3 linked regions of the Mus musculus genome follow. The protein of the gene in region 3 interacts with the protein of the main gene of each other region in a pairwise test. Links are inferred from orthologs where the notes say so. Each region holds a gene or a part of one and is shown on either strand. Other genes may lie near its edges. The genes, in order: Larp6, Synj2 and Itsn2.

Evidence for each region.
Region 1: the proteins of Itsn2 (region 3) and Larp6 interact in a two-hybrid assay, tested with the Homo sapiens proteins (2 studies listed by BioGRID, with this or other methods). The link is inferred for Mus musculus from reciprocal best matches to the Homo sapiens genes ITSN2 and LARP6.
Region 2: the proteins of Itsn2 (region 3) and Synj2 interact in a two-hybrid assay, tested with the Homo sapiens proteins (2 studies listed by BioGRID and IntAct). The link is inferred for Mus musculus from reciprocal best matches to the Homo sapiens genes ITSN2 and SYNJ2.

What each region holds. Positions count from the first base shown.
Region 1 is NC_000075.6:60,733,505-60,737,153, reverse strand, and holds part of Larp6 (la-related protein 6), read right to left. Parts: intron 165-3,649; coding exon 1-164. UniProt on the Homo sapiens protein: Regulates the coordinated translation of type I collagen alpha-1 and alpha-2 mRNAs, CO1A1 and CO1A2. Stabilizes mRNAs through high-affinity binding of a stem-loop structure in their 5' UTR.
Region 2 is NC_000083.6:5,939,911-5,944,228, reverse strand, and holds the start of Synj2 (synaptojanin-2), read right to left. Parts: upstream 2,950-4,318; 5' UTR 2,779-2,949; coding exon 2,652-2,778; intron 1-2,651. UniProt on the Homo sapiens protein: Inositol 5-phosphatase which may be involved in distinct membrane trafficking and signal transduction pathways. May mediate the inhibitory effect of Rac1 on endocytosis.
Region 3 is NC_000078.6:4,630,952-4,634,600, forward strand, and holds part of Itsn2 (intersectin-2), read left to right. Parts: intron 1-1,422; coding exon 1,423-1,486; intron 1,487-1,984; coding exon 1,985-2,122; intron 2,123-2,525; coding exon 2,526-2,611; intron 2,612-3,583; coding exon 3,584-3,649.

The sequences.
Region 1 (3,649 bases), on a different chromosome or scaffold from region 3:
TGTAGGTCATAGACCAGCAGCATCTTGCTGGGGAGGTTCTCATTGGGGAACAGTGGCACAGGGGTGGTCCTCCTAACCTTCCGGTGGTCCTCGTTCAACTCCAGGGTGACTGAATACTTCAAGGCGTGTGCTGTGGTCCTCCAGTCCCGGGTGAGGTGTTTCACCTGAGGAACACAAAGCAGATCTGAATGGTATCTCCTCTCCTTGTCCACACTTGAACACGCAGTATCCTCCCTCCCTCCCTCCCTCCCTTCCTCACCTCTTCAGCACTGATGACTAAGCTCATCCCTGGTGTGGAAGACACTCAAATACCAGACAGAGAATGAAATGAAAAATTTCTCCAACCACTTCTTCAATGCTTTCTTTCCTTAAAGTTCTTTAACGTAAACTTTATTATGAAGATTGCAAAAAGAATTACAAACTGAAATTAGCCAGATCCCAAGTCTATGTATCTCAGTGAAGAGCTAGAATAGCCATTCTGAAGCTGTGACGTTTCACACTGAGTCTTCCAGCTTCAATATCAATTGAATTTTATGCAGTTACCCATCACCCAAAATGAAAACAATCCACAACAGAGTTAGTACTGGAAAGATTTTAGATTCTCTCTCTAATGCATGCCCGTCACCTGCACCTCAGTCTCTCCTCCTCCTAACACTCAGCTCTTCTCGCTCTCTTTTCTACACATTATCCTGCACTCACACGTGCATTTGTTTACATATACACATATGCTATTGGCTAGGTTCTGCATATGAGAAAGTGCTTTGCTTTCTGAGATCATGTGACTTCACTGAGCATTATGCATTCTAAGTCCATCCATTTTCCTGCAGATTTTGTGATTACATTTCTCTGTAGAGCTGAGTAGTAGTCACATACACATATGGTATATATAGGATATATTATATATTTCATAAATTTCATGCATATATGATCTTTCATTATCCATTCATCTGTTGATGGACAACCTGGGTTGATTCCAAGTCTTTGTTAGAGAGACTAAAACAATAGGAACAATAGCCTTGGTTTCTCTTCAGATGGTAAACATCTTTGCCTCTTTTTTGTTTGTTTGTTTTGTTTTATTTGTACATTTTGACAGCACTGGGAATTAACCTAGGGCATCGTGCACAGAAGGTAAGCACTCTACCAATGAGCTACAGCCTCAAACTCTGCCCAAGTTCACGGGTCAGATTCTGTAGTCCTAAAACAGTGGTTCTCAGCCTTCCTAATGTGAGACCCTTTAGTACATACAGTTCCTCGTGTTGTGGTAAGTCCCCAACTATAAAATTATTTCATGGCTACTTCATAACTATAATTTTGCTACTGCTATGAATCATAATGTGAGTATCTGATATGTAGGATGTCTGATATGCGATCCCCAAAGGGGTCATGACCCACAGGTTGAGAACTTCTGCTCTAAAAGTAGGCTGTTAAGTGCATAGACCCAAGTGTCACCTCCATCCCCCAGGAAGACTTGGATAATTATTTAGTCTCTCAGAACCCAGCCTTGTCTGGGTGCTAGAACTATTGAACCTGTCTACTTCATAGCACTGCAACAAGATGTAGCGAGGGTTTGGGGAGGTGGCTCAGTCGGAAAAGTGCTTGTCACACATGCACAAGGACCTCCAGTTCAACCCCCAGACCCCATGTGAAGAAGCCAGGCAGGATGGCTTGTGCCTGTAATCTCAGCAATGGGGAAGCAGAGACAGGCATTCTGGCCAGCCAGCCTTGACTACTTGGCTAGTTCTAGGCCAGGGAGGGACTCCGCTCAAAAGAACCAAGATGGTGGGCTTCTGAGAAATGCTTAAGCTTGATCTCTAGCTACTACATAAGTGCAGTGTGTGTGTGTGTGTGTGTGTGTGTGTGTGTGTGTGGTGTATGTGCAAAAAAATATAGAATACTCAATAACATTGTGCTATCACTGTTGCAAATGTATATGTCACAGTGAATTTGGGGCAGACCCGAGGACAGAATGTAGAATATCAGGCAAGCAGTCTTCCATGAGCTACAACCCCAGTCCAGATTTTTGTTTGTTTGTTTGTTGTTTTTGGTTTTGTTCATTTTGTTTTGAGATAGGCTTTTGCTCTATAGTCCAGGCTGGACTCAAACTCATGATCTCTCCAGTCTAGGCCTCCAAAGGCAGAGACTGTAGAGTGTCACCACTGAATGTGCTACTACTAAGGAAGGAGTTAGAGGATCTCACATTCTCCACTGCTGTGATTCACAGCAAAGAGGAGCCTTCCAAGGACCCTCCGTTTCTCTGTAATCTCTCCCAAGAGTCACAGGCACAGACACCACATGAAGAGGGGCTGGAGAGATAGCTCAGCGGTTAAGAGCACTGGCTGCTCTTCCAGAGGTCCTGAGTTCAATTCCCAGCAACCACATGGTGGCTCACAACCATCTGTAATGGGATCTGATGCCCTCTTCTGATGTGTCTGAAGACAGTAACAGTGTACACATATACATAAAATAAATAAATTTTTAAAAATCCCCTCCCATGATGGAAACTGCAAACAGACACTGCAGTATATGAAAAGCTATATTTATTTTATAAAACGGCAATTTTGCGGAGGCCCACTTCCAGTGAAGGATGTGCCAGGGACATGAGTCATCTCAAGAACTACTAGATATGGGTGGGGTGGGTAACCTGAGCCTGCAAGGGAAAATCACCCAGAGTCCTCTGAGGCTGGGCCCATGAGACTGATCTGCAGAGGAGCCAGGAACCCCCAGTGTGCCCAGGCCTCAAACAGAAAAGGCACAGAAAGCAAGATGGGAAAGCCTGCTACCCAGGCAGGTCAGGGAAACATCCAAAGAGCCCAGAGTCCTGACACACTGCTGGGAGTGTGTGCTCTGCCCATTCTAGTCTTGGCCTCTCATTCTTAGCATGAAGAAACCCCAGGACACCTACACAGAGTGATAGGACTAATCACTATGATACAGAGAAACAGGCCTGGGTAGATGGTTGGATTTCTAGTGAACAGTCAGCTAGCCAAAAATACAGAAGGGGTTGAGATGAATTTTGGTCACTGTAAACCACACGGTTTGTTGGAAAACCATGGCCTGATATGACAGAGCCACACCTTTCCTGCACGGCTCAGAAAGGAGCATGCAGGAGATGGCTGGAATCGGAGCAGGAAGCCTCTGGTGCCTTACTGGGAAGGGTAAGGACCGGGGAGGGCTATAGAGGACTGGAGAACACACAGAGGCAAGAGCCAGATCTCCTAAGAACCACTCCCTGGGCACTCCAGGTCTGTGTTTGTGATCTTTATGATGGTTTTCAGGTATCAGCCCAGAAAAGGAACAAGGGGACTAGAGAGATGGCCCAGTGGTTACTAGCACTAGTTGCTCTTGTAGGGGACTTGAATTTAATTCCCAGCACCCACATGATGGCTCCCAATAGTCTGTAACTCCAGTTGCAGGGGATCTGACGCCCTCTTCTGGACTTTGAGGGAACTGCATGCCCATGGTACATATACATACACTAACACACACATAAACTAAAATAAATTTTAAAAAATAAACAAGGGGGTTTGGCTTTGTGCAGCCTCCAGAACTTTATAAGGTCGTCAGGAACTCTATGGGGTGACTAACCATAATTGTCAACCTGAATGGATTGAGATTCTCTACAGAAACACATATTTGGATGTGTTTGCAA
Region 2 (4,318 bases), on a different chromosome or scaffold from region 3:
GGCTTTCTTTCTTTCTTTCTTTTTTTTTTTTTCAAAGCCAGTGCTTTTATATTTAAATTTATGCTTCTCAGGCACACAAGTGGTATTACTAACACAATATTAGTATTTTTCATTCTTAAGCATAACATATGGATATTTTCTTTTTTTTTTTTAATTAGGTATTTTCCTCATTTACATTTTCAATGCTATCCCAAAGGTCCCCCATACCCACCCCCCCAATCCCCTACCCACCCACTCCCCCTTTTTGGCCCTGGCGTTCCCCTGTACTGGGACATATAAAGTTTGCAAGTCCAATGGGCCTCTCTTTGCAGTGATGGCCGACTAGGCCATCTTTTGATACATATGCAGTTAAAGACAAGAGCTCCCGGGTACTGGTTAATTCATATTGTTGTTCCACCTATAGGGTTGCAGTTCCCTTTAGCTCCTTGGGTAATTTCTCTAGCTCCTCCATTAGGGGCCGTGTGACCCATCCAATAACTGACTGTGATCATCCACTTCTGTGTTTGCTAGGCCCCGGCCAGCTTTATTTCTTGGGGAAAAAGAAAGGTCAAGGAAAAGAAAGTAACTCGGCTATCTGGCGCTGGGAAGAGGTGGCGATTTCAAGTTCAGAGTTATTCCACCCAACAATGAGGCATTTAGGATGTTTTAAAAGTACAAAGCAATGACTTTCCTTTCTAGTAACAAAGGCTCTCTTGTAATCCTCTCTCAGCATTATCAGCAAGGGCTACAATTTCTTTAAAAAAAAAAAAAAAGAAATAAAAAGTTTCATTTTGTTGACCATGGAAAACAAACCCAAAACTGCAAGTAATCCATCCAGTGGTCTACTGAAAGCAGACAGTTAGGTGGGAGATAGAAGTGTAGAACAGGAGAGGAGGGTTAGAACGTGACAGTTCTTTTCATGACAACTTCTGCTGTAATCCAAAGTACTGCATCATTGCTACCATGTAAACACATAGTGGCCCAAACTCAACTGCCTGATGGGAGACACCTGTTCCAAGTGGCTTCAAAACCACTCTCACTGGGGTATAAATATGGCTTGGCATTGCTGAGAGGCATTCTAACCTCTTTGAAGTCACAGTAACTTTGTATCATGAAATTTAATCTTTGGGTTCTGAGAAATGTGTTATGGAGTAAATGACTAAAATGGAGTGGAAATTTCCATGGTTTTCTTTCAAGGCTGCAACAAATGACCAAGTTTGGACTTTTCAGGACAGAACTCCAACTGCAATAATGTGATAATTATTCCACGACTGTCTACTTTTGACACAGAATCCTCCTTCCCTAATCAAGTGACTGACAGCAAGCCAGATATTTGCTGTTTCCCTTTTCTGTGTCTGTATTTGGCCAGCATGTTTTGAGGTCTGGTTAGGTTGTCCAATCTGGTATGAAACTCTGGGGCTTAATCCATCTTCCCATTGATCCTCCCGCCTTGCATAGCCAGAACGTGGGCTGTATTCCACCACACCCAGCTTGATAAATTACACATTAATGGCATGGTCCAGGAAGTAGAAATTGATGCACCCCCTTTAAGACATGGTGTATGTACGCACAAATATGTGGATGTCGTAGCTTGAGCTGACACATCCAAACCTGAGAAAAGGAGTCATAAAACACTTTACAAATGAGTGCTTTGCATTTCTTACCTCCTAAAATATAAGTGATCCTGTTTAGCTAGGAACACCAGGAGGATGGACAACTGGACACCCACTGTCTTAAACCTGCCCTTCAAGGCTCATCATTAAAATCTTACTGATCCTATCTGACTGCTGGCTTTATGCTACCTAGATCTTCTTGCAAATGTCAATTACAAAACTAGGGATCCGGAAGTTGGACTTACCAGGAAGGCATGCACCGCATGACATCACCAAAATAGCCACACACAAGTCTGTGTTGCCTGGAGCAAGTGTCTTAGCCTCTTTAGGCCCCAGTTTGTTTATCTTTATTACGAGCTAAAACTGCAAAGGTTGTGTAAGATTTTGTCTCTAAAGTCCTTAGCACAATGCTGATCTCACAATTTCTGAAGTCAATCAATGAAATACAATGGCTTGCCCTCACCTAACACCCAGCATAAAGATAAAGTCACTAGAGAGTATATTTGCTTCTACTCCTGCTTCTGATGGAGTATTTATAGGAGACAAATGAAGGGTGCCATCGACGTTTCTCAAAGTCTGTTTTGGTGCCTACGTGTCATCCCTTCAGGCAAGGCAATGCTGCTTTGGTGTATTCAACAGGTGCACAAGCATGGGAGCACTAGGTGGACTCCTCCTCAGGGCACCCTCCTCAGAGTGTCCAGAACATGCTAGGTTTCGGCACTGAGCACCAGGAGCGGAAATCAGAGCCAGTTGGCTCTCCAAGAACAGACGCCTGCCACCCAAGCCCCAGGAAGAGCGCCCCCGAGACATCCCCGCCCTCAGGCGAGCGCGACGCTTAGTCCAGCCAAATGTGCCAGCTCTCTGGTGTCCCCCGCACCCAGTACTCCCGCGGACAAGCGCCCCTGGCCATCCCCAAGCCGCCGGGGTCCTCCCTGTCGGGGAACCGAGCGCCCCTAGTTCTCAGGTCTCCGCGAAGTCGCTCGCCTTCACTAATTCCCGCCCTCCCTCCCTCCCCGGCGTTGCTGCCCAAGTGGGGAGCACGGGGAGCGCGGCACTCACCCAGCGTGGCCACTGCGCCGGCCTCGAAGAGCAGGCAGTCGCCGCGGCCCCGCGCCTCCAACAGCACGCTGCTCGGGCCAGTGGGGTCCAGCCGCGCCAGCAGCCGCAGCCCTTTGCTTAGAGCCATGGGCGCGGGGAGCAGAGGAGAGCGGGGACCAGGTCCCGCCCGAGGGTGTGCGGCTACCAGGAGTTTCACTTTGTGCCGGGCTCCAGTGCCCACGGCTCCTCCTCCTCCTCCTCCTCCTCCTCCTCCTCCTCCTCCTCCTCCTCCTCCTCCTCCTCCTCCTCCTCCTCCTCCTCCTCCTCCTCCTCCTCCTCCCCTAACACCACGACAGCCTCCTCCTCCTCCTCCTTTCTCCTCCACCCCCTCCTCCCCCTCCCTCCCTCCCTCCTCCTCCTCCGCCCGGGCCCCGCCGCACTGCCCCGAGCAGGTGAGGTGGCGCTGCCGCCCAGCCTCTCCGACGACGACCGCGCTCCCCCAAGCGGCGAGGCAGGCACCTGCGAGCCACAGCGGGAACCCAGACTGCGCCCGGTGGGCTTGAGCTCGCCAGGGCTCAGTACTCCGGGACGGTCCTCCCTGCTGGGGGCGGCTGCGGGCGAAGGAGATTCCACACATTCCTCGCCGCGGAGGAGGCTGCAGCCGCGGAGAGCCTCAGGAGCCCGGACCCTGCCCGGATTCCCGCGGCCTTATATGGGTAGCTGGGGGCTGAGGGCTGAGCAGGGCTGGCAACCCCCCACCCCACCCCTGCCGCCACCGCTTGTCCGGCGCAGCACTTCTTCCCACGCCCACCCCACCCCCACGCCTGAGACCCCGGATGGGGCCATTGGGTTCTGTGCCTCAGTCTCCCTGAATGGAACTGCAGAAACGCAAAGTGGCCTTCACTCTGAAACTACCGTGGTGATTGAGTATGTTCTTGTGAGTGGTGTGTGTGTGTGTGTGTGTGTGTGTGTGTGTGTGTGTGTGTGCCTGACACACTCTTTAAATGCTGCCTTCTACCGAAGACTTTAATTCACTGTGCGACCCAAACTGGTGTTGCGTTGTGTCCGAGAGATGAGACATCTATTCCCTGCTATCCCCTTTACCACATGACCTTGACCTCGCTGAGATGCACATGGCCTCGCCTATCAGAGTGACAGGTGAGGAACCCCCACCTGAGGATCTCAGTGCCTGTTCTTGCTCAGCATTGATGAGTATTCTGTGATCTGCAACCTTCAAGCAACTCGAGGCAAGGCCTCTTGGTCCTTGGGTCGGGTTGGTCAGGATTGGTCTGCTAGCCAAGGGAGAACGCAGCCAGGTCGAACTGGAAGCACCTTTGGGCGCGTTTGGAGCATCCTTTCCTAGTGTGATGCCTCTAGAGGTCCTCACCCGCAAGTTTCCAGCAGGCCACCCTAACAGCTGGGTTCCTCTGCCGCCCGCCCGCCCCATTCTGCTGTGCTAAGACCAAGAGTGGCGCATGGCTTTCGGAGGTTGGTTCTCCACAGCTTCTTTATACAGTGGAGAGATCACCACCCCATGCAAGTCGTGTAACATTAAGTGTAGCAAACTCGGCTGGGCAGGGTGGCCGGCACCTTTAATCCTAGCACTAGGGAGGCAGAGACAGGCAAAATTTTATTCTTTATAGAAACAAAGTCACCCTCAACCACCTTCCCTTTTCTGTATCCAAACA
Region 3 (3,649 bases):
CTTCAAATTCTTATGCCAAGTTAAGTGCAAGAGGTATACACCCCACTTTTCAGAAAAGCATCTCTCAGAAAGATTAGACTTAATCTTGTAAGCTTTGAAGTGAATGAAAACCCCAAACCACATGTGTGGTAATGGTAGCAATTAGCCTTGACTCTCCTTGAGAGAAAGCACATTTTCTCTGCTTGCCTTTTTCATGACTCACTAATTTTTTTCTTATAAAGGACAACATTTAATTGGGGCTGGCTTACAGGTTCAGAGATTCAGTCCATTGACATCAAGGAGGGAGCATGGCAGCATCCAGGCAGGCATGGTGCAGGAGAAGCTGAGAGTTCTACATCTCCATCCAAAGGCAGCTCTTGGAAGATTGACTTCCAGGCAGTTAGTATAGGGTCTTAAAGCCCACACCTACAGTGACACACCTACTCAAACAAGACCACAACTCCAAATAGTGCCATTCCTTGGGCCAAGCATATACAAACCATCACATTCTATTCCCTGGCTCCTATAGGCGTGTTCAAACATATGAGTGTTTGGTGGCCATACTTAAACATAGCATAATGCAAAATAAATTTAGTCCAACTCCCAAAGTCCCCACCATGGCTCACTCTTTATGCTTTAACTCACATGTCTATAGGACATTTCAGTTCAGTTTAGAATATTATATAAACTTACAGAGGAGGATAATGTGTTATATGGTCATATACAAGATGTATATTTGTAATAGGCAAGTATGTTGCATCTCCTAACTTTCACATTCCCACAGCATACATAGGGCAAAGTGATTGATGGATAAAGGAAAAGGGGTCAGGAAAGACTTGGAGATTTCTGTCTGGAGTCATGCTGAGGACAGTGATGCAAGTTATAGAGAAGAGAGAGCAATTTGGAGTGAAAATTGGAGAGAGGAACACGATAGACACAGGATTCTTTTCTTTTGAGATGCCCGTGAAACATAGTTTGGTTGGACATAGGAGTATGAATATGGAGGTGCGGTTTGGGCTGCAGGCGCAGGGCATCAGGCTTTAGATGCTTGTTGAAAACAGAGAGAAAGCATGTTCAGGAGTCACAGGAGGAACTGCAGCCTCTATAGATCACGTAGGAAGAGAGAAGTGAAGAGTGTGAGGGAAGGGGTGTTGGGGGGAGGTCACGGCTGGAGAGCCTTTCTTCTCCATGCCTGGCCTGAGACTTGCCCTTGCTCTCAGAGCTGAGTGGAGCTTTCCTGCTGGAGGACCGTGGAGCAACACTCCCTCCTCACTAGCTCTAGGCTCTGCTGTCTGGAGCAGGACTGTGATCACTGCAGAAAGCCCACTACCTGGCCCCTGGTACAAACAATGATGGCAAATGTTCCGAGAAAGCTGCAACATTGTCTGCATGACTTAACAGAGACTAAAGTCGTTTCTTTTTATGCCTTTCTCACTCCATCAGGTTTTCAAGCTAGAAATGCCCTTCTTCAGTCAAATCTCTCTCAAACTCAGCTAGCTACTATTTGGTGAGTGTGCTCATCAGTGACTTCAAACTATACATCGTCTCTTATAAGAAATCTTTGTGGAAGATTGTTTCTGAAAGATCAAACATAAAATCATTGTTTCTGTAAAAATTTGTTACTTGAGAATATTCCATGAAAGTGTTTGAAAGTTACATTAACTAGGGAAGTGTCCATTTTTGAGAGCTTAACCTTGATTTTATAAGCAACAGTGTAGCTTTCTTCTTTATTGACTTACTTTGCAATCCAGAGATTATCTCATTTATTCCAGTGAATTGAACATGAACTATGATAGCCAACCTTCCCAGAATAGGCATTTGCTATGATGAGTCACTCTCTTCTGTTTGTTTTGGGCTATGGAGATTAAGGGTAAAAATTGACTCTTTTTTGGGTATGTGTTTACATTTTCCTAAAATATATTAACCTAGAATTTATCCTCTCATTACTCATAAAAATAAAAGTCAGTAAAAACTCTGACTTTGTGAACGGTCACATTGCCTTTAGGACTCTGGCTGACATCGATGGTGACGGACAGTTGAAAGCTGAAGAATTTATTCTGGCGATGCACCTCACTGACATGGCCAAAGCTGGACAGCCACTACCACTGACGTTGCCTCCCGAGCTTGTCCCTCCATCTTTCAGGTCTGTGTCTGCAGAGCCATGGCCCGCATCACCCCGGTGTTGTTCCTGCCTCACTGGAGCCCATGCATCGGTTTAGAGGAGAGCTACATACTTGCTCTGTCCTTTAGTTAATGAGTCACGATGGGAAGTAGATAACAGAAAGGGTTTTTTCACCATGCTATAAAAGAGGAAAAGTTTAACTGAGAAGATTAAGTAAGGCTTGCCCAGGAACAGCAGTTAGCTGAGTCTGGGTCTCTGGTTAACATCCAAGAGCTTTGTGCTTTGTAACTGAGGGCCATGCTGCAGTGTAAATAGCCTTAATGCTGTACCTTAAATACGAACTTGTTTTAATTGCTGATAATCTGTATTTTTTAGTCTGAAAATTCTCAGACTGTGATGGCTCTTTGTTGTTTGTTCTTCTTAGAGGGGGAAAGCAAGTTGATTCTGTTAATGGAACTCTGCCTTCATATCAGAAAACACAAGAAGAAGAGCCTCAGAAGAAACTGCCAGGTATTAATTTTACACTTTTAATTAATTTATTTTAAAATCAAAATCAGTTGTATTTTCTTTAAATTTTATTTTTGAAATACAAACACATATTTAGAGTATTTATAGATTTAAAAATTAGATGCCACATGAAAATAGGGAATGAATAAGATTTGTGTGCATGTGTGTCTATGTGTGTATTACTGGGGATTGAACCCATAGACCTATGTAACATCACCAGCTCACTGGGATATCTTAACTGATTTATACATTTTAATGAAGAGTAAAACTGAAAATGATGAAGGAAGAGGGAGCATGTATATGTTTGGAAAATTAGCATTTCTTCCACACTAGGGAGAGGCAGATCAAGCTTTGTAATGAAATCTTTAGCTTGAAAAAAGTTTTAAATATTCACTTAAAGAATGCACACATGATTATTTTATTTAGAAGTTAGTGCAAAGACTAGGGTTATAGCTCAACAGTAGAATGTTTAGCCAGTACTAAGTTTGCTCTCCAGCACTGCAAACCAAACCAAACCAAACCAAACCCCACCTTCTTCAGAGCTAATGACATGTAACAGATGGCACACAACCTCTGAGAAAAGTAAGTCAGGGTTTGTATTGGCTTGGATAGTCAGTGTTTGAATAGAATCAAATGTAGAAAATTGCAGGGTTTTAAGTGAATACTTTTACTTTCCTATTTACATTTGAGTATAGAAGTATCCGCAGGGGAAATAGCCAGAGAGCAAGAGCAGAAGCCGTCGCAAGTGACTACTAAGCAGAGTGTATTGAACTAGATGAGAGGCTCTGTAGGCTTGAGAGAAAGCATAGTCTCTCTCTCTCTCTCTCTCTCCCTCCCTCTCTCCCTCTCTCTCCTTCTCTCCCTCTCTCCCTCTCCTCCTCTCTCTCTCTCCTCCCTCCCTCCCTCCCTCCCTCCCTCCCTCCCTCCCTCCCTCCCTCCCTCCCTCCCTCCCTCCCTCCTTTTGTCTCCTTTTAGTTACTTTTGAGGACAAACGGAAAGCCAACTATGAACGAGGAAACATGGAGCTGGAGAAGCGACGCC